Drosophila melanogaster: one gene and its partners. The gene in region 2 interacts genetically with the main gene of each other region. Each region holds a gene or a part of one and is shown on either strand. Other genes may lie near its edges.

What was found.
Region 1: of Axn (region 2) and dsh, changing one suppresses a phenotype caused by changing the other (phenotypic suppression), as found in Drosophila melanogaster (2 studies listed by BioGRID).
Region 3: of Axn (region 2) and sgg, changing one suppresses a phenotype caused by changing the other (phenotypic suppression), as found in Drosophila melanogaster (2 studies listed by BioGRID).
Region 4: of Axn (region 2) and tsh, changing one suppresses a phenotype caused by changing the other (phenotypic suppression), as found in Drosophila melanogaster (one study listed by BioGRID).

What each region holds. Positions count from the first base shown.
Region 1 is NC_004354.4:11,353,343-11,359,361, reverse strand, and holds dsh (dishevelled), read right to left. Parts: upstream 3,482-6,019; 5' UTR 3,009-3,481; coding exon 1,137-3,008; 3' UTR 638-1,136; downstream 1-637. Other genes in the region: Pa1 (PTIP associated 1), read right to left, coding at 1-33; CG1737 (uncharacterized protein), read right to left, coding at 4,827-6,019.
Region 2 is NT_033777.3:30,020,434-30,026,104, forward strand, and holds the start of Axn (axin), read left to right. Parts: upstream 1-2,408; 5' UTR 2,409-3,407; intron 3,408-3,993; 5' UTR 3,994-4,189; intron 4,190-5,032; 5' UTR 5,033-5,106; intron 5,107-5,671. Other genes in the region: RpS28a (ribosomal protein S28a), read right to left, coding at 1,971-2,165.
Region 3 is NC_004354.4:2,644,902-2,650,214, forward strand, and holds the start of sgg (shaggy), read left to right. Parts: upstream 1-1,735; 5' UTR 1,736-1,970; intron 1,971-4,834; exon of another isoform or gene 4,835-4,838; intron 4,839-5,313.
Region 4 is NT_033779.5:21,826,724-21,832,006, reverse strand, and holds the start of tsh (teashirt), read right to left. Parts: upstream 3,415-5,283; 5' UTR 2,202-3,414; coding exon 2,149-2,201; intron 1-2,148. UniProt on the Drosophila melanogaster protein: Homeotic protein that acts downstream of Arm in the Wg cascade during embryogenesis to determine segment identity throughout the entire trunk.

The DNA of each region.
Region 1 (6,019 bases), on a different chromosome or scaffold from region 2:
CGTATTCGCCGCCGGCTCCACATCCGTTGCCATCGTTTTCTCGGATTTAAACAATCCAAATGAACTGGAAATTTGCGTTTCTTTCCACAATAGAACCTATTGGTTTCGCGACCTTTCTGGAATGAAAGCGATAGTTTGCTTTGGCGTGCTTATCGAACAGTTATCGAACGTTCGTTGCTATCGATTTTCGGGCTTAGTGTTGCAAAGTGTCCGAGCTGGGCGGTTGATTTGAACACATTTGCTGCTCGAAATGGATTTTCTATTTATAGGTTTCATTATTCTCTTCTTTATTAAGTGCACACCCATGCCCGGAATGTTTCCGCTCCGAGTGCACACAACTTCGAGGATTGTTCTCGATGGCGCATTGTTTGGTTTAGGGGGAAGAACAATATTATCTTGTTGAGACTTTTACTTTTTAGGATGGAAAGTATGTGTTTAAATATTGTTAATCTGTACAAAGAAATAAGAACTAACAAAAATTAGACTTCCTTTTTAATGTATATTCCTCAAATTACGAACAAACGCTAATATGTTTTAGGAATATTTTAAAAGTCTTCTTGGCAATTTGATTTGCACTTGAAAACAGCTAAAATGCGTTAAAGAAACCAATCTCATGCATATGGAAAAGCCATCGATTATTCATTTTATTTGTATTTATTTACTTTGTGATTACTAAATTCTTAGAACTTTATTCAAAATCATTCTCGCCCGTCATGCTGCCGTTCCTGCTCCTCCGCTCCGCTCCGCATCATCCATATATATATATATATATATATATATATATATATCATATATCATATATCTCAGTTGATCTGATCTGATCGGGTCCACAACCGATTGCTGCCGGACACGGATATCCCTGTGCTGATCCTCCTGCTGCCTCACGAGCCCTCGCTGATCCTTGACTCGTTGCGGCTGGGTGTTTAGCGTTCTTTTCTATGACTTACACATACCATACATATACATAAGTATTATTATTATTATTATAATTATTATTATTATTATTATTATAATTATAATTATTATATTGTGGTTTGCTGTTTGCTTGCTTTGTATACTCGTATATAAAAAAGAATAATCGTACATATTTAATTTAATTAATTAAAAACACAATTTGATTGCAAAAAGAAAGGTTTCTACAATACGTAATTAAATACGGATACGTCCTGATCGTTGGTATTGTTGCCGCCACCGCCACCGCCTCCGCCGCCGCCCCGATTGGAGGAGCCGGATGATTTGTTAGAGCCATGAGCGGCGATGGTCAGCTGGTTGGCCTGATGGATCACCGAGGTGATGTCGCTCTGCGACGCCGAGATATCCTTGCTGGTCAGCACATCGCTGCTACTCGATCCCGACGAGATGTGTCGCTCGGCGATGCCGTACTGGATCGGCTGATAGCCGTGACTTGGATTGTACGTGGCCGAATATGGCATATAAATGGGCGGGTTCGGTAGCGGCCCGATGTCGCTGGTGATGCTCTCGGTGTCCGCATGGCTAAGCGCATGGCCGCCATGCCCGTGCGGCAGCTGGTGCGGATGCAGATGTCCTCGGCCCAACAGATTGGGATTGCGCTCCTCGTTCACCACGTAGTAGCACTGCTCCGAGAAGGTCAACTTATTGACCGTATGCTTGATGTAATTGCTGCGCAGCATCGCCGAGACGATCCTTCGCGCCTCCCGCCTATCCTGAACATCCTCCACATTCTCCAGCACCCAATTGACCGCATCGGCGCCGATAAATGCATTGGGAATCGTTATCTTTAGCCACATGCGATCCCTGATCTCCAGGCCGCTGTCCGGCTTCGTCATCGCCTTAACGATCTCCTCGAGGTTATTCTGGTCCAGACGCTCCTTAATCGGCTCCGCAATGTCGGCAATAATACTGTCGTGCGATGTGAGGGCCTGAGTGTGCGCCACCCAAGCACCGGGATCGATGGGTCGCACCGGCTCCGTGCGCGGAATGGTGAAGTAGCCCTTGGGATTTGGGTCCCAGCACTTGGCCACCACCAGCTTGATGGGTCCCGGCTTCTGAACGACTTCTCTCAGCACACGTACCGCCTCGTCGTTGGTCATGTTCTCGAAGTTGACATCGTTCACTTGGAGGATCATGTCGCCCGGTTCGATGCGTCCATCGAGTGCCACTGCGCCGCCTTTCATGATGCTGCCCACGTAGATGCCGCCGTCGCCGCCGCGATTCGATTGCCCGACAATGGATATGCCCAGAAAGTTGACCGCCTCCATGTTGATGGAGACGGTAATGATATTTAGGGACATGGTCGAGTCGGTTATGGAGCTGTACGAGGAGGTGCGCGACATGCTGGGCGCCCGTTTTTTGCGCCTCTGCGGCTTCTTGCGCACCTGCAATCGCTGAACGCTGCTATAGTCGGTCATGTCGCGGTCCAGCGTCAATTCGGATTCGGTGCCAAAGAGACTGGTCGAGTCCAGATCGCTGGAGAGCACGGATGCCGATTGATATGTGAGCGGTGGCGGCTGCAGCAGCGGATTGCCCATCATCTTCTGGTGATGGAGCACCTGCTGCTGTTGCTGCTGCGCCAGCTGGACAGGCTGCACCTGCTGCTGCTGTTGTTGTTGCTGTTGCTGGTGCTGCTGCTGCTGTTGTTGTTGCTGCTGCTGATGCTGCTGCTGTTGCTGCTGTAGCTTCCTGTTGGTCAGACCCATGCCCAATTCACACTCACTGGTTGGCAGCTCGGAGCAGTTATCTGACTGATTGGTACCATCGGCGGAGACCAGCCAGGACACCACTCGCCCATTGAAGCAGGGCAGTATGGTGGAGTCGTCGGCTATTTCCTCTTTGACCACACCGAAATCGGCGTCCATTGACTTGAAGAAGTACTTGTAGTTGTTGTTCTGCTTGTTCAGCACCAGCTTGAAATCGCGCAGCGTCACCTGGGCGGATGGAATGGGGATCTTCACCAGATACGGCGTCGTCTCATCGTCGATGTGGTATATCACCTTCGTCTCCTGCCCGCCGCCCCTGTCCGCGTCCATTTTAGCTGCGCCGACTGCGGAAATCCACGGGAAAACTCCTCGACGCGATAAAACGCGATCAAAACGAAATGCGATGGATGCGGTGGGGAGGTGGCGTGGGAAGTTGGTGGGGAAAAATCACAGGGAAAACGGGATTAAGCCAGGGAAAAGCCGATACAACAAACAAAATTCACTCGATTTTGCTTTTCTCCCCCTGGTCGCTCTAGCCCTCTCGCTCTCGCACGCGTTTCTTTTACTTTTTCTTTCTCTTTTTTTTGGGCTGGGTATTTCGATTCAATGGAAGCGGCGGCTGTTAATTCGTCGATTTGCACGGCGTTGATATTGCTCCATTAGCACGATTTGGTGCGCTTTAATGTCGGTGCACGCAGCGGGGGCAGGGCGAAACGAGCATATTGCTAGTTTATCAATAAATTTGTTAGAATTTTGAGACTAAAAAAAAACAGTGTGTTAGCCGCTCGTCACGCACGGAATGCCAAAGCGCCGGGCAGTTGGTCACACTGCCGGCGATGCCAGACCCTTTCGAATTCGAACATTCTTAACATTTTCTCAAACGAATATTCTGAAAAAGCGTATGGAAAACTACTAAAAACTGCAATGTATTTAGTTTCTATTGGAAATGCTCTCTCTAACGATATTTGCTTTACAATTTGAATGTAGTTCAAACACTTTTAAAATTAAATACCAAAGTTATCGATAAATATCGTTTAATTTGAATACTTATTCAAAACAATAAATTTATTATAATTTAACAAAATAGCAATTTCTATTACATAAAACATGTAGAATCTAAAACTACAGCTATATTGAACTCTTAATTGTATTAATTTACCATATAATGATGTAGCATAGTTGAAGAGTGTCCTGTTTAAAAGTAGAGTCTTTATCCTTGTCATGGAAACTTGACCAAGGAAACTCATCCATCCATCCACTTGAAGCCTGCGTTCCTTATCTTCTTTCGCTTTTCACACGAAAATCTCTAGCGTTGGCCGCAGTTTATTTATAGCTGCCCGATTTCCAGATAACCCCGCCCGCCATTTATCACGCAATGGCGCTCGTTATTTAAATCAGTTTTCTCTTTTATTTGTATGCTTTGAATTGGGATCACTTAGATATACACTCGACTAACTTACTGGCTAGTCCTCCACGCGGGCGTAGGCACATGTACGCCCGGTTTTATATTATTGAATCGACTACGATAATAGCAATTTAAAAAAAAAGGATTTCGAAGGGGGCGGGACTCGCGGGGAAGGCGGAGGGGGGCTATGTATTCCAACGCATTTAAAATAAAAATCATTATTGATATACCTCGACCGCCCGGAACTTCGCAATCCCTTCGAGAGTTGGGCGAGCATTTTACAATTAATTGTTTTCTTTAGTTTAGTTTATATTACATAGATACATCTGCCGTTTGTATTTATGTATGTCCGTCCGCTGTTTATAATATACGAGATATATATATATAAAAATTTATATAAATATATATATATATATATTCATATATATAAATATATAATTATATATACGTGTATATATATTAATATATATTTATATACATACATATATATATATACATATAAATATATATAAATTTACGCTACACTAGCTATTACAACTAAGTTAATGGTTTTACAAAAAAAAACTTGTATCTGTTTTATTACAACTACAGCATAAAACGAATTATCGAGTGTCCGCTTTGTTTGTTTGTGTATGTGTATGGGGGAGGGGGATGGGGATGGGGAGGGGAGTGCTGTGTGTGAATTATTTTTTACAATGTGATACGTGCTCTTCCTGTGGCCACCATGGACCAGGCCTCCACGCTCACTTAGCGTTGACCAGCTCGACAATGTTGCTGCTGATCGAGAGGCGATCGACGATATCCAGCAGGATCTCCACATCCTTGATGGTGGCAACCGTCTCGGGGGCACCCAACAGATTCACATGCTTGCCATCGATGTTCGCATAGAAGCATTTGTTCTTGAAGATGACGGCCCGATCGTAGGGCACGCGGCACGTGTTCTTGTCAACGACAACGCGCCGGAAGAGCACGCACGACGGCTGATACTTGTGACGGTCCTCCTCGGGTATGTTGTACGCCTTGAGATCGCCCGTAAAGATGGTCATTGTCTGGCGGGGCATCATCGACGGCGAGACCTTGTACAGCGTCACCTTGCTGGTCCATTTGCCCGATGGCACCTTTATCCGTGACGCCACATTGGCCAGCTTGACCAGCGCCAGCTCCAGGCAGGTGCGCTGCTGGCGCGCCATCTTCGACAACATATCCTTGGCCGTGCTAACCACATGCCACGTCTCATAGCAGGTGATCTTCTTTACCACACGACCATCCTCCTCGTGAAACGTTGTGGTCTCGGGCGGAAAATATTTGGGACTGTTGGCATCGTCGATGCCACCGCCGGTGGGCAATATTTCGCGCAGCGTTGTCAGCTCCTTGTCGCGCTGCTGCTCCTGCTGGTTCTCCTTGCTGCGACGCTGCGGAACCAGGCTCGGCTTCTTGAACACCGGCTGGACATCGTTATCGGCCAGCAGATTGCTCAGCCTCCGGTCCGCAATCAGCGCATTCACCGACGACGCTGTCGTGGACAGCACATTGCGCCGATTGTTGTTCAACTTGTTAACCGCTACCGCTGCTGGAGCGGACGTCATCGCCGCCGACGCCGCCACCGACGTCGTTGTCGTCACCTGCTTGGACTTGGCATTGGCATTGACATTGGCATTCTTACGGGTAACAATAGATACCGGTATATTATCGATATCAAAATCGAGATCTGGATCCGGATCGTCCTCTTCGGTGTCGACGTCCGTGGGACAGAGCTCCTTGCCCATGCTCATCAGCGGTTTCATCGACTGCGTCTTCTTGCCCATTTCCGCGTTGAGTATCCTGGGCCGGGGCTTCGGCAGTTGACTCTGGATATGCACTGGTCCCATTTTGGTATTGACACTACTGTTGCTGGCCAAGATCTTGATGCGCTTGGCTGGATTCCCCGCCGTCGTAT
Region 2 (5,671 bases):
ACCAACCATGAGTAACGTGCGAGACTTCTATACAACATAAACGTGCCTGTGTATGTACTTTTTCATATTTACACATATGAAGCGCACTTTATTCTGAGGAGAATAATGAAATTAGCTCATATCAGCGATGTTGTTCAAGGTCGAAACTAAGTAATAAGCTACATACAAGTATGTATCTGTATAAACATTAAAAATTCCCCCGAGCCTTAACTACTCACATGAGGAACCAAAAACGATATTTGAAAATGAGGCACTGCAAATAATATGTATGTAGTTTTTACAGCTTTTCCGCGAAACCTAACTAGTTTGCTTTGGAGTCACGTTGCCGCCAGTTGAAAGCAGTTTCGATTCACAAGTGGACATTCCAGAACCAAGTCACATGCGAAGTTCCCTGGAATGTGCTATTACGAATGAGATGTGATACTATACTGACTGCGAATCCAAGCCAGTGGAAGAGTGGAGTTCCCGATCTCAGGACTCTCACTCCGGCGGAATAGCTAATCACGCCCCTTTGTGCCAGGGGCCACTAATTACCATGTTTCCTGGTAACGTCAATCTGACGCACTTAAGTGCGGAAAATCAATGAACATTAATGACCCGGTCCCTTTATTAATAAATTGTAAGTGGGCCAATTGACTGACGACTGAACGCGACTTTGAAATTCAGGCAATGAAAGGTCTAGGAATAGCAGTACACTGTGCGGAGTTTCGAATACCACTTAGAAAGTGATTTTGAAGTTGGAAAACCGAATGAAATATTCACCATTTAAGCTAGTTTCTATGAATAAATGAGCGCTTGCAGCAACAGATAAAAGTTCATTGACTTTGATTTATTTATGAATGAAATATTCATAATGCATAGGCTTTTTAATTAGAATAATAACATTAAATCGCAGGCAGTAATTTCTTCCGGTGTAGGAACCACCTCTATTCGCAAATGCAAGCACTTTTTTTTTGGGTGTGTCGGGGGGCGGTGGGAGGTGGGCGGTGGCAGGGGGCGTGGAACGAACAGGTATTTTCGGTTTAGTTGTTACGAAATAAGTGGCGAAAATTGACGTGCCGAAAGCGAAGGCAAAAAACCAAAACAAACAAACACGAAAACTCAGGCAAATGCGCCGTACGCTTTGCATTGTTTTTTCGCCCACTTTTTATGGATCGAATTTAACGACAATCTTTGGCCTTTTGTTGCTTTAATTGCCCTAGCTGTCCGCACTCACCTTTGCTGGACTTTTCGCGCAGTGCAGCTGCCTCGAAGGAGCCCAATGCCTGCATTATTTCGCGGTCGCCACTTTCCTTGCGGTCAATCGATTTTTCAGAGCGCCCCGAAAAGTCCAAGTGCAGCAGTGTAACGAATTCGCAGCTTTCGTTCGCTTTTCCGTGCATTTCGGAATTTGCACTAATTGGTAGGATTCCCCGGGGAATCGAATCCGTCACTTTTAATCCTGTTTGCTGTTCTTTTCGCACTCGCTTTTGTTTTTGCAATGCAGGCTCCTGCACTTGCGGTACACACACATACCAGCAGCTGCTACGGCCGCCGCTGCACACACACACACGCACAGCGGGCAAACGGGCATCTCTCTAGCTCTACCCGTCTCGCTTCAACCCACTGCCGCGCGCATTTTCACATTTCCCGCATTTGTTGCTACTTCGCTTGATTTATTCGGCGTTCATCTGGGCGTTCCGTTTTCACTTTCGCCTGGCTGGGGCAACAACAAGCTCGCGATCGAGTATCTCAGCTCGGCCGTCCGCTGCGAACGAGTATCTGAGTAGCTGAGTAACTGAGTATCTGAGCGTGAGTATCTGTATCCGAGTGTCTCGCGGAATCGGAATCAACACAAACAGCTGTTAGGGCTGCGATGGCAAGAATCGATAGCTTAGCGATAGGAAATCGATAGTTTGGGATTTAAAAATTGAACAAACAAAATCGTTTATTAACTTGATTTGGGAAATCAAACAGGTGTAATTCATACATCAGCGCAGTCTCCTGGCCTCGCGTTCAGTTTCCAGCAGCGACAGGATGTCGCCCACGCGAACAGGTCCTTTGACATTCCGAATAATCTGGCGGCTTTGGTCGCCGAGGAACTCCACCCGCACCTGGGTGCACTGCCCTTGGGATCCAGTGCGTCCAAGGATCTCGACCACGCGAGCGTACTGAGGCTTGTCCATGCTGAATACGAAATTCGAGAATTGTTCGACAATAAAAGATTTGAATTTGAAGCTGTGAGTGCTGCTGCCTTTCCAGTCGATGAAAATAGAAAACCTATCTACCCTTCTATCATCCCTGGCGCCACCTGTAGGCCTTGTAGCGCAACATAAGTGCGGACGCGAACCACAAGGTGACCCCAAGTCGAGCTGCCACCTTTCGCAGTGTTGGCAATCCAGTTGGCATCCCCGAGGCGAGCTATCGAACCAGTTCGATTTCGAACCACGCAACTCTAGCATGTAATCGTTCGTCTCGCCGTCTAACATTTGTGTCGAACTACATTTTGTTTTGCCATTCAATAAATCTATTATTTACCACTGAATAAGCGGCGCCACGGAGCCCTAAAAGAGTGTGCGCGTTCCGGAGACTCGGCGCACAGCGGCCCGCAGCGATACGTCCATGAAAATCGAACGGCAACAGCAGCAGCACCCACAACCAGCGGAGGCAACAGCAACAAAATACACAAAATAAAGAAGCAGCAGACGGAAAAGTGCACAAATGGTGCAGAACTGAGTGGAAAGGCCACCGAGCACAGATTTCTCACAGTGCAGGAGCCCGGAGACGCCGAAATGCTCTAGAGGGCGGCGCTTCAGCACGATTTTCTCCCCGCGGAGAGCCCAAAGTTGCCAGCGGACGAGGATGACTGCTCCTGGCGAAGCATTAAGTTAAGAGACATACAGCCATTGTTTACAGCAGGCAGCTCAGACACCGGGATAGGATAGGATAGGATATGCCCTCGGGCCAGCCCACTTGAGTTGAGGAGAGCAGAGGAGAGGATCGGGATCCGTGCGCGAGGAGAGGATCTGCAGCCTTGTTTAGCATTTAGTCCGGTCATCGTGCCAGCGCCTTGTTAACCACACTCTCTTGTTTACGTTTGCTTGTTTGTTGAACTCCACAAATCGTCCTTCCATTAATTGTTAGTCACGCGTCCCTCTCGTTGAGCACACTAATCAAAATGAAAGCATCCTCGTCGATATCGAAATTGAAGTTGAAATTGAAATCGAAATTGAAAGCTAAGTTGCAATTGAAATCGAAGCGTCCAGCCGTTAAAGCTACAATCAAATTACACCCGTCCAAACCCACCTCGTCATCGCCATTGCCATCGTCACCGCCATCGAAGATTGGAGCCAGGGCCGTCAGGACTGCGCCAGGATCAGTCGTCTGCCATCCCAATTGAGTGAAGCCGAGGATACACGAATCTAAGGGTGAGTACTGCTCTTGGAATTCCCATGCACAATCCATAACTAATGCTATTACTTTCTTACGCAGTTTGTGGATTATTGGATTTGCACAACTTACTTAAGGACTAATATTAATACTTTAAGAAAGGCACAACATAAGTCTGATTAATGATCTAGTTGTATCAAGGGAAATGATTGGAATTAGACAATTTATTCACGTCTAACTAATATCTCAAATATTAATAGTAATTTGAATGATCCTTTGTAAGAAATGTGAGCATATATTTTGCAATAATAGTAACTTTATGAAATGTATATTTCATTAAATCGAAGGATGATACCTGATCATTGAAAAAGTCATTTAGAACGCCATGCAAATTCTAATCATCCAACTAAAATATTGCTCAATTAATTAGTTTGCAGCACATTTAATTTATTTCTGAGGTGTATGTGCCAATGGGATCCCATAGAAACTGTATATATCTTTTAACTTCATTAACAAATCAATTAATTAACAAAACAGTAAAACATAATTATATTATCATCCTGCATTCATATCCATAATATACAATGTTACCTATTTAACAATTTACACATCCTCTTCTTTCAGGTACTGAATGTACTGCATCAACTGTAATATAAGCTACGTAAATAGGAATTTATGCGAATAAGAGTAATTAAGTGAAGCGTGTAGTTAAACATTTCTACAAACCGGACATAAAAAGATTCAACCATCTTAAAGGACTTGCAGCGCTATGGATTGATATGTTCTCAAGCGTTGGCCATTTCTCACTTGAGTTTAATCGGTTAGTGTTCTATCACCCTTTATATTCAAAGCATTCTTTAGATTTATTTAGGCGTTTATTGGATGCACCCGTGCGCGAAATATTTTCTCCCCCACAAATCCAATATGTATGGCTTATTGAAAAAAAGGAGGCACTTGGGTGGTTGCTACTGATTGATTTAAAGTTCGCTGTGTTGAAAACTAATTCGATTTGGGCTCTGAAATGTAAATTTATTTAAGCTGAGCCAAAAATAATATTTATACAATTTTATCTCTATTAAAATACCTTCCAATTTTATCTTTGATGCAATATTTATGACTGGCATATAAAAAAGTTTTTTTGTTTAATTTATTTATGGTATTTGTATTATGTTTTGGTTTGAATGATTATTTATGAGATGCACGAGACTAAAGATTTTTCTTAAAATTATTTTCATTGTTTTGGACTTACTTTCTTGGCGAACAAAAATATACCCAATGGCCAAATCTCTTTTCTCCCAATTGATAATTGATAATATCCTTATGTATAAAGCTTGCCTATTATATATACATATTTTATATACATTTATTTATATATATGTATATTTAAAACAGAGTAAAAGTGTTCATAATTTTTTTAACTATCCCATAATGCTTGGTAAGGCTAGAAACATTAGTCTTCAGATAAAACTTTAACTTTAACATATAACATAAATTTATACCAAATGGATAACAATGGCTCTAATCTTTTTTTTTTCCAAACTCTTAACTATATGTTTACAACCTTAGTCTTTCGAACAAATATTTTAGTATTATATATTGTCTTAGCTTATTTCAAAATGATTTCAATTGATCTAATCTTTTCTTCATTTCACTATTCTTTCAGGAACAACTGGAACCATTCGGAATACCAATATCTTCCCCTGATTTCATGTTGAATTTTTTATGCAAATTACATATGTGAGTATACAACTTATTTTTACTTTGTCAATGGTTTTGAAGTTTAAGACAACTACGATTGCATGCGAGAATCTCAGAAATATAAACTAGTATGAAAAACTGATTTACATTGATATACTTAGGTCCTTTTCCATTTCTCGAAACCTAATAATCATGACATCCTGAAGGGTTTTAATAAATCCTTTTTAATTGGTTATTATTCGGAAACTACCTTTTCACTCAATTGAAAAATCCTCTTAGTGCAATAAGGATACCATGATTTCACTATTGTTTATTGGGCTGCAGCACTCTGATTAAGGAATTGAATAAGTTTCCGTTGTCTCGGAGAGGAGCAACAGTTGACCGCGCCCAAGTGCATCCTTCGGGTCCTTCGGTGTCCTTGTAATGGGCGTTGCACCTGAAAAGTAGGCGCTTCCGCGCTGAACTTTTCCGCCTGTGCTGGCAACTTTTGCCGCGCACAAAGTGCCACTATTGACCTTCGGCAATACTCGCAGCCGCAGTGAGTAGTGCCCGTGTTTCCCCCAGTTTGCCGGGCCAGACCATGCCGGCGTGGAGTCTAGACCGC
Region 3 (5,313 bases), on a different chromosome or scaffold from region 2:
GTGCGTGCAATACTTTAGCTTAGCTATTCTCGTAAGGTGGTTGTCTCAATTTATTGTCAAAATTCTGTTCTGCTTTAAATGCCAAAATTGTGTTCAAAATCTTTCGTCAAATATTCCAATAAATTAACTTCAAGGACGGACGGCCATCACCTTTTAGCCTTATTATCATTAAACAAAGCGCTACTTTCGCAAAACCATCGTTGCTATTTTGACTTGACCACAAGTCACTAGAATCAGTAACCATATCGGCCAACAAGAAGGCAGCTAAACAAGGACCCACTCGCGATGTGAAAGTCAAGAGCACGGCCATCGAGAGCGGCCCCTCCAAGCCCCCGCCGGACAAACATCTGGAGCGCCAGTTTGTCCAGTCGGTGAATAGTTAGTGTCCGGTCGCTTTGTTCAGCTGAAGTTATTGCTAATTATTATTAAGTTCTCGTAACTAATTTTGAATTTTCTTCTTCATTTTCTTTCCAGGTAAGTTGACTATCATATTACCAAACTTCCTATAAACGGGTAAGCAAAAGTCTGTTCTCCCACATTGAAGTCTATATATATATATATATGGTGATAACTGCTAAAAGCAAACTTATAGATTGTAATTGTTTTTAAGTGTTTAATTAGTTTATAAGTAAAAGCTACGTATATGTAAAGCTAGCCTAATTTCGCAGAATTTGTAGCTAGTGTTGCCCAAATGGGTTAAGTTACATGAGTTTATGTTATTTTGTTTACAAATGAAATTTGTGGAAATATGTACCAATACAGGGTTTAAGATTTCGATTGTGGCGAACATTTATGGCTGTGGCCTTGGGACTTGCATACTTTCGGGCGGCGCTCGTAATGAACCGGCTGCATTTTTCGATGCTTTCGCAATTAGCGGTGGTTAAAAGACCTCGCCACCCACATCCCCACCTCCCACATTCCCCACCCACTGAATTTTCCACTCTTTAACTCTTCTGTTTTTGTTTTGTTTTGTTGACTCATCGGCACGCGCGCTCTCATTTCGGCCTCTTTCTTTATCTCTTTCTCGGTTACCTAATTTTTGCATAAGTCGCGTCGCCGACACATGAGAAATTCCGGCGCAGCGTACTAACAAATACGCACACACTCGCACACTCGCACATGCAGCTAGCACACTCACGCACCGCATGCAAATTAGCTGTCCGCTGACTAGAAATTCTTTCGCGAGCGCTCTCTTTCCCGCCCCTTTGCTCTGTGTGCTCGCTCGCTCCCCACACGCCGCACACGCTCCCCCGCTTCCTCCCTCGCCGTTCGCCGTCCATGTGACGATCAATTTTAGCGCACATTGGGGCAAATGTGTGGAGCAAGCTGCCAGCGATGCTCTCTTTCGGGTGAGAAACAACATAAATACTTCTTTCATTTAATTCCATTTCCATTTGAGAAGCGAAGCAAAGCTTTCGGCCCACCGTGCAACGTTCAATGCTCCGGTACAGCTGCGGTCAGTCAGTTAGAAATCAAAGTTATATCAAATGTTCCTTGGAAGAGACCAAAAATGATGTGTCATGCCTTAGTAGAGACAAACTTACCTAGAAAGGTGCCTGTATTTATAAACTGGTGTTGACATTTATTTAAAGTTGTAGAAATATTGATTAGTTAGGTGGTCCTTCCGTTGCGAGCGCTGCTGTGCTGCGGGACGCCGGCGCAGGCGCTGCTGCGCTGCCGGCGACGCTGTCGGCTGATGTGAATGTGATGTAGATGCCCATGCTTCGACTCGCTCACTCGCGTTGAATCCATCGAGCAGGCGCGTCGTTCTCTCCTCTCGTTCCGGCGCGTTCCATTCAGCCATTCCGCGACTCTATTTGCCTGTTGTTTTTGTAGCTTTATCAGCGACAAAAAAAAAAAAAAACGAAACGAAACAAATATAAATATAAATAACAACGGCGAAACAAAAAGTGAAACAAAATCGTGACGCGCCTGATTACTTTATTTTTTGTGTCAACAGTGTGTGCAGTGTAATGTGTCTCCAAAAGAAAAATAAAAATTAGAAACTAGTCGAATTCAATATGCATTGAAATCTAATTAGTTGCCGCATTGTTGTTTTTGCCGCCTGACACCATTAGAAAATCACGAAAAGAGCTATCAACATGGCCTAAAGTGACCAATGAATTGGAGTTTATTTCACGGCGTTGTGAAATATGCTCCAACTTTAACCCAAAAACCCACACACACTCATTGCCAATGTATTAATGTTTTTTTTTATTTTTATTTATACTTGGGGGAGATGTGTATTTTTTTAGTGGGGCGAATGTTCTAGAAAGCTCTTTAAAGTACCTCGATTTGTGTGGGAATCTAACGCTCGTTGTTTGCCCCTTCCTCGCAATAGTTGTTTGTGAATATGTTGCGATGTATACGTATCCACGATTTCAGTGCATCTTCACTACCAAATCCAAGAAGAAGAAACTTAAAATTCATCAATGGAAAAGTTTTTGCAATCCCCCTGTCTCGCTCACTTGCTCTGGCCCCCTCAATCGCCGCTCTCTTTCCGCCGCAAGGCGCACAACAAGTGGCAAACCGAAGCGGCGGCGTCGTCTTCAAACCAGTTTTACTGTAGCGTTGTTGTTGCTGCTTCAGCTTACACTGAAAAAATAACGCAGTCAATAACGCAAATTAGTCCATAGCTTGTTGGTACCATTTCGTTTGTATATTTTATAAGCACATTTTGTAAACAGGAATTAATGGAGAATACGCAACACAAATCTAAGGCACGATTTCTAAAAAAGTTTAAATGATGTGGTGATTAATGTTTGTTTATTTATCACGACACTTAAATTGTTCTCTGTGTAATTCTGCGGCTGCTGCGTCTCCGCGATAATTGGTGCGGAGGTTGCCCCTTCAGCCCTCCCCCCAAACTCCTCCATCTACCATTCCATCTACCGTTCCGCCGATCAGTATTTGCTTTTATGGGCAAAAGTTCTTCAATGAGTGGTCACAGCATTTGTGAAGGGAGGGGGGCGGAGGGGGCTGCGGTACGTGCATGCAATTCCTTATTGGCGACAATGTTGAAATGTGTGCGCCTGTTTGAAGGAAAACACCAGAGATCAAACCAATAGCTTTAAAACTTTGATTGCCTTTTGATTAAAGCCATGTGGAACTTAGTGCCATCACCGTTATTGGGCAGATTCTAATTGGTTTTCCAAGTAAGATGCTGAAAATGCAATTTTTTCTCGTAACGTTAATCGGTGAACAGGGAATCCCCCTCATTGATCTCCCAGCGCAGTGGAGCCAAAGTCCTAAGTTTTTTCAGCATGGATGACAGTGCCTATTAGTGTGACCGCTGGTGTTTGTGGTGGCTTGGGCCAAAAGTGAATTATTCATGTTGTTGCTGCTGTCGCTCTGCCAGTGGAAAATTCCCAAAAAAAATTCGCATGAACTGCGCCGGCTGCTCCTCCGCTCCTCCGCTGCCCCACATGCTTCTCCTTCCACTCGTTCTTCTTCTTCTTTGAGTGCCCCCCAAAGGCAAAAAGTCGGAGTCGAAGTTACTTGGTGTGTTAGTTGTTGTTGCTCTTGCCCACTCATTCGCTTCGGTTTTTTTTTATTTTCTTTTCTTGTCTTTAACATTTTTTCTTTTTATAAAAATAGCACAGACGAAGAAATATTTGCACACACACACACACACCACGCACACACGTGTATTGTAGCATTTGCTAATTTTCTTCGTTTGTTTCGCTTGGCGTTTTTTGTTTGTTGATTCGCCTATTGCCTCCGTCTTCCCTCTCGCTCTCCGCCACTTTTATATTTTCAAAGACAGCAATTTGTATCTTTAGTGCGGGGATCACTTTTCTCTCTTAAACCCGACTTTCTCACGCTCTCTTCCGGCGCTCTTTCGTCTCCTTATCCACCACCCACCCACGCCCTAAATGTGTCAATGGTTCAAGGCGGACGAATGAATAATCAAAGAAGAATTAACTCGGAGCTTTTCACATTAAAAAGCTTCTCAATTGTGGAGCTTTGCTTTCGTCAGACTTTTTTCGGGGGCCAAAACTGCATGACGTGCCGCCAAAATCAATAAACATAGTATTGTTTCGCACTTTGTGTATACATACTATGTACTTTCACACTTGTTCTTCCCATCCAATTTATGCAAGATCATATGCTTAGTTCTTAGTACTGCCAAATCCTTACAAAAAAAAGTCGGGTTTAATGCGGCTGTCACCGCCTCTTATCTTTCATTTCCCTCCAATATGCCTCCCACTTGCAGGCAGTTGACTTTGTTTCACTGGAAGCCACGCGTTGCTTGTCGATTTGATCCTCTTATAAATATTTGCACGTCTCGATTTACATTGTTTGCTTGTTGTTTTTGTATGTATGGCATAATGACGTTTACGATGACGCGCTTGAAACGACTAAAAGTCGGAATTATATGGCTGGCCCCCCGTCGATTTCTCACGCCCATTTTTGGAAGTGAATCGCGGCTTTGGCATTTTTGGTATCCAGAAATGTTGTCGCCACTGCAAATACGAACAAAATATACATAATAACATGCGGAATCTGGCCCATGGCGTCGTAAACCGGTGCAACCTTAATGACAAATTGCAAATGTGAATAGAGTGCGTTTCATAATGCACTTCCGGTCATAAAATATAATAATTCCTAAGGCGAATTAATTGTTTATCAATCAATTGTTTTGATACAACAATTTGTCAATAAAGAAGCACACATGGGCACCAAGAATCTGCTGACGTTGTCGCATTCTTGTTATCGATCAATTAACGTTTTTCACTTCAATTTGCAATAAAGTAATTCTTACGATAATAATGACAGGGCAGGACGGGATGGTACGTATTCGAATCGGTAATATGAGGCAAGGGAAAGGAAGACGGGTAAAAATAAAGTTAACGATATGGCAGTAAACAATGTGGGTTGGACACAAGCAAGCTGTCCAAGAAGCCACTTGATGCGACCGACAACTTGGGTTATAAAACTTCGACAACAGTTTTCACAGCACGCGCTGTTCCATTCCGTTTTATTCCGTTCGAAAATTGCTTTTTCGCTCAATTAATTAACTTATTTTTTATTGCACACAATTCTATTAAATGTGTGTTGTCTGTTGATTGGATTGCTGGGATTGTGTTGGGAGCATACAAATCTATTGGAGAATGTGCCCCCCATCATGCTGGCACTAAAATCAACTTAATAGCTGCACACAGCTTGGGAACATGTTCATTGTGTGGATTTCTTCAGGACTTACTCTTCCTGTATGACGGGAATTAACTCGTCGATATCCACTCGTCGTTTGTTCAGTAACTGTCATCGGGTGGTGGTTTCGATTGAATTGATTGACAGCGAGTGACAAGT
Region 4 (5,283 bases), on a different chromosome or scaffold from region 2:
CTGATTGGGTTTGCATTTGAAACGGACGGAAATAACCAAACTTAATCAATATTTGAACGTGAAAATCAGCCTGTAAAATCTGCCTAAGTTGGTCGAAGCGTCGAATATCAAGTAATTGTCATGTGCTATTGTGTGACGAGCGATCGTTCACCGAAAAATGAAATTCTTAACCGGCATTAAGTTGTTTGATTCGGAGGAGTTTTGTCACTGGGCCCTATCAGAAAGTCAGTGTTTAATTGATGGATTGTTTACTAACAAATCCGGCCTAGCGCAATATTGATGATATCTTAAGGAACGTCGGAACAAAATCTGATTCATGTGCAGCTTATTTTGAACTCAGTCACCTGCCAGGTGACAGTTTATCAAAGATAGTTATTACACACACCGCGCAATCACTCACCGCTAATTAGCTATCCAGATTGCAAGGGGCGATTGAGCCCGCAAACAACCCATTTAGCGGCTCGTTTCTCCATTATTTTGCTTGACTAGTATAAAATACTTGGCAACGAGTTTTCTCCGCCAGCATATCATAATCTGAAATCTCGTTATTCGATTAGGCTTAAATCAAAATGATTTATACGCAACTCCAGCAAGTGCAGTTAATTACAAGTTGAAATGTCTCATTAATAATCGAGAGAGTTGCATATTGATATGCACCCGTAACGCTCAGGCTAACTAAAATAGTGGGAGTACACCCATTGGTGTGATATGGGAGAGTTGGTTGGACCTCAGGTGAGAATATAAATAAATATGAGTTGACCGATCTGAATTTTTTTATAGTAGAATTATTGTTTAAAATGTTTATTCCCTAGTATATTTTTACTATATACTGCGAAATGAAGGTTATTAATAACAGTATATCTATTTGTGCCGAATACAACACACTGTCCCTGTTAAAGCAAATCTAAGGCACGACAAATCCGTTAAGGTAGCAGAGTAAATATTACTAAACATACACATGCACCCGGAGATACAGCCACACGCACACGCACACGCCAGCGGCAAATTGTGAACATAAATCTCTCCGGTAATAGGCGCACACGGGGAAATTGGAGGGGGTGGAGAATGGAAAAGATGGCAAGCAGAGCGTAGCGTATTTTGAGTTTTTCACTTTTTCGCATGATTTATTCAATTCGACTACGTCATCGCCTTGGAAAATCTTGAAAATTCGTGTGTATCTGCATGCAAATCAAACGAGAGCGAGACAATTTGTCGCACTTTATTATTAATACTCCAGATGCACCCCCGAATACCCTCGCCCCCGCAAATATAGTGTCATAAAACCCGTTTTTAGCCTTCAGTTAATTTGCTCAGACTCAGGCTCACTCGAGTGACTGTTCGAGAGCGAGTTCGAAAAATATCTTGAACTTGTTTAATCATAATTTCAGAGAAACCCAGATACAGATACACAAACGCTTACCCCAAGTTAGTATCCCATCATCGAACTATGGCGATTTTTCTGTTATTTTCGGATTTCCCCTGCCAGCCACCCTTTTCAAATCAAGTTCTGCTTTTCCCGATCCGAGGGTCTGGACTCGTAGTCGTGAACTCAGTACTCTTGGTTCTGCGGGTGGGTGTTGTGATATATGGGCGCGCTATTGGCGAGGCGCTGAATTTATAACGACAGGTGTGCGACTACGCCGAACCGCCAATGCCAATCATCAAATGCCATGAAATCATAGTTTCTTGATATATTTATTTGGCCGATTTGTGGTTGAGAGTCTGCAATACTATTTCAACAAGTTCGGCTATCAGTTCACAATGACAATGGTTTTTGATTTTGATTGAAAACGTTCTATATTCAATATATGTCGTATATACTTGGTATATATAATATTCTATTTAACCAGATACTTGAACGCACATAAAAAGCAATTGCAAAAAAATAATATTAACTGAATGAGATGAATGTAATTATTTTATATGTGAATATTTTGAGTATGGCCACTTTTAGTTAAGAATTCAATATTTCACTATTTCATAATGAAAAACACTTTGATGCACTTTGGTAGTAAAATCTCAGTTCGTTTATCCTTCATACCCAGAGTAGTCACATTTTTGAATCCCCCGAATAAGGCCATGTGAATCTTTTTCTTAATTCTACATCTTTCACTGTTCTATGGAAATAATCTTCCATATAACACTTACCCGGCATTTAGCGCCTGTCTGTAGATCTCGAGCATCAGAGCCTCGTGTAACATTTTTAAATTTTGCTGAATTTTGACGGTTTGCTGGAACTTGGATGGTTTGCTCTTTTTGGAGCAAACAACGAGGATTTTAGTTGGATTTTGGAACTTAACTTTAGTTTGACACAATGATCATATAATCTATTGTTTTGCACTTGGTACGTTGTAGTATAACTTGTTGTTGTTGCAGCGTATAACTGATTAATTTATATTTTTTGGATTTTGTAATTTATAAACTTTCGTATGTCAGACAAAAAATGACGTTTCGAGGCGTTTGTATTTTTAATTCCTAATTTGTGTTGATTTAAATTTAATTTATTAATTGCATTGAATCGTATACTTCGTTAAGGTTTGTTGATTTAAGTAACTGGCTTTACATTATGTATGTAGTGTAATTTTGGTGAATTAAATACCGTTTAATGTAAATATTTGCAATAGTTTATCTTTAGTTTTGGTAATAAATATATTTTTGTGGTATATTTTGTTTAGCTTGTGGTAGTTTTACGTATACTTTGTTGAACCATTTGTAGTTGTATGTTTCTCGTATGTTTCAGTCTTGATCGAGCATTTGCGTTCGAGAGTATCAAACCTCTGCTTCTTTGACTAGATATGATGGCGGCCTGGAAAACACTCGTTCTATCCTCCCCCAAAAACGCGTTTTAAACTGAGAATTCACTGTTCTGGCGGAACCGCGGGTCGCGATGCGTGCGTCTTCTCATCCGGATTCGTCGTCACTACTCGAACGAAAGTCCAAAGGCGATTGAATCCCGCTGGCCGGGTTCCTTCGTCACTAGCCTCTGCTGCGGTGCTCTGCCGGTGCGCTGCTGCTGCGCTGCCGTCGCTGTCAAGCTGACAAACAACAACAACGGGGCGCTGCTGCTCTGCCTTCACTGATTGATACGGATGAAAAAATGAAGCGACGCGACGGACGCGCAGCGATTGGAAGCTGCGCTGCTGTTGACGAGCAAACACGAAGCCCGCGTTTTGGCGACGGCAATTTCTGATTCGATTTTGCGTTCTGGCGACGGCTGCGCACTTGTGTGTGTGTTGTGTGTGCCGTGTGTGCCACCCACACCCTTGCAGGACAAGCTGGCTGTCAGCGTGATTAAATGTGCTACTCTCTCGCTCGCACTCGCCGGCACTCGGCTAACTAATTACCGTACGATTTTTCCAAGTGCGCCGAGCTTTTTCGCACGATCGTACGCAGTAACGGTTTCTTGTCGACTGACTGACTCTTGGCGAAAAGAACCCGAAACCGATGGGTAGCCAAAAGAGAGCGCGAGAGAGAAGAGAGAGAGAGAGCGACAAGAGCGCAGACTTTCCCCTGTGCTGGCAAGTGAACGCTTGGAACTGAAACAGGGGAAATCGCTAGGGAAAGAGATAGCGTTGTGGGACCGCTCCGTCTCGCTTGCTCCGAAAGTGTGTGAAATCTGTTTTGTCGTTTCGTCACCCTTCTTTTGTCCTATTCCGAATCCGATTCCATCACAATTAAGATTTATGACAGTTTAACAAAAATGCTCTCACTCGCATGCGCCGTCCTGCTCGCAGCCACTCAAACTGTGTCGGTCCCTGCTCTGTTTTTATTTCTTTTCAAAATAAACAGTAGTTGTTGCTCTCTGAGCTTTTCGCCCTCGTCACTTTTAGCCTCTTCCCTCTCGCTCACCTTCCTTCATACCCTCTGCTGTCAACTTTTGTTCGCCTTTCTGCAGCTTCTTCGTGGATCTCGCTTCTTTTGTTTCGTTGCATTGCTGTGCGAGCGAGTAGGAGAGTGAAAAAGTGGAAAAGTGGTTTGGGGCAATTTTCACTTGAAATCAACCCATTCCACTTTTCTTTTTGGCTGCGAAAACAATTGAATTAGCGACACTCCGGCCGTTCTTTCCTCTGAAAATGTGCCAAAATGCCGCGATTTTATTAGTTTTCATGGCAAGGTGTCAATGTTTGTGAATGCGTGAATGTAAGGCTGTGTAAGAACATTGATGTACATATGAAAGTATAAAGCCGAATGAAGTACAAATTTGGTTTAATAAGTGCCTTTATACAGTCTAAAAGATGACAGCATTGAATACTATTTAAATACTAGTATCATTAATACTCAAGATCACGTCTAATAAGTGCATCTACAATATTTTTCTTTGTGCCGACCCTGGTTACCTTAAGTTTATATATTGCATGTACTTTTTCACATAAATTGACAAACGTATAAAATAGTAACTTTCGATACATTATAATACATTACATTATAAAACATTATATACATTATTCTATAAAATTATCAACCGGTAACCGAGCATTGCCTTGATTCCTATGCATATTTACGGAGACGACTACTGAATCAAAATTTAGTTGCGAGGAGTCCACGAAAGGTGCCCCTACTTAGCCCAAGGCATTTTAAGCCAAGGTTAAACTTCGCTAAAACCCACCTAAACTGGCCAGTCTCCAAATGGCGTAATATCCCCTGGACTGATGTGTTAAAAATAGTGCTATTTGGTGGAACTGGTTCATATGGTTATATCTGACGACCTCCAAACACCGAGTACCACCCAAAACACCCACTGAAGACTTTCAATCACGGTGGACCTGCAATACTGGTATGGGCTTGTTTATTTTTTACAATGGTATGAGTCCATAACATATGATTTATGGTATTATAGACCAAAACGCATGTGTAAATATACTAAGGGATGTCTTACTGTCATATTCTTATTATAATATGCCCTTAAAATGGAAATTCCAACAGAATAATGATCCGAATGGCAGAAGCAAATCGGTTAAGAAAAGGTTCACCCAAAATAGAATAGATGCAATGCCGTGGCAAGCACCATCTTCCGATTTAATCCCGATTGAAAACCTGTGGGGGGACATTATACAATATGTGACGAATAATTCCCCGACGTCTAAGGCTCAGATTTGGCAAGTTGTGCAGGATGCATTGGCAAAAATTCCCCCCAAACGTTGCCAGGACCTGGTGGACTCCAAGCCGCGTAGGTGGTGGCTAACAGAGGCTATCCAACACATTAATAAGAAAAACTGTTAGTTTTAAGTCAAATTGAATTTTGTTAATATTTTTTTATTGCACTGCTCTTTCAGTGAACACCAG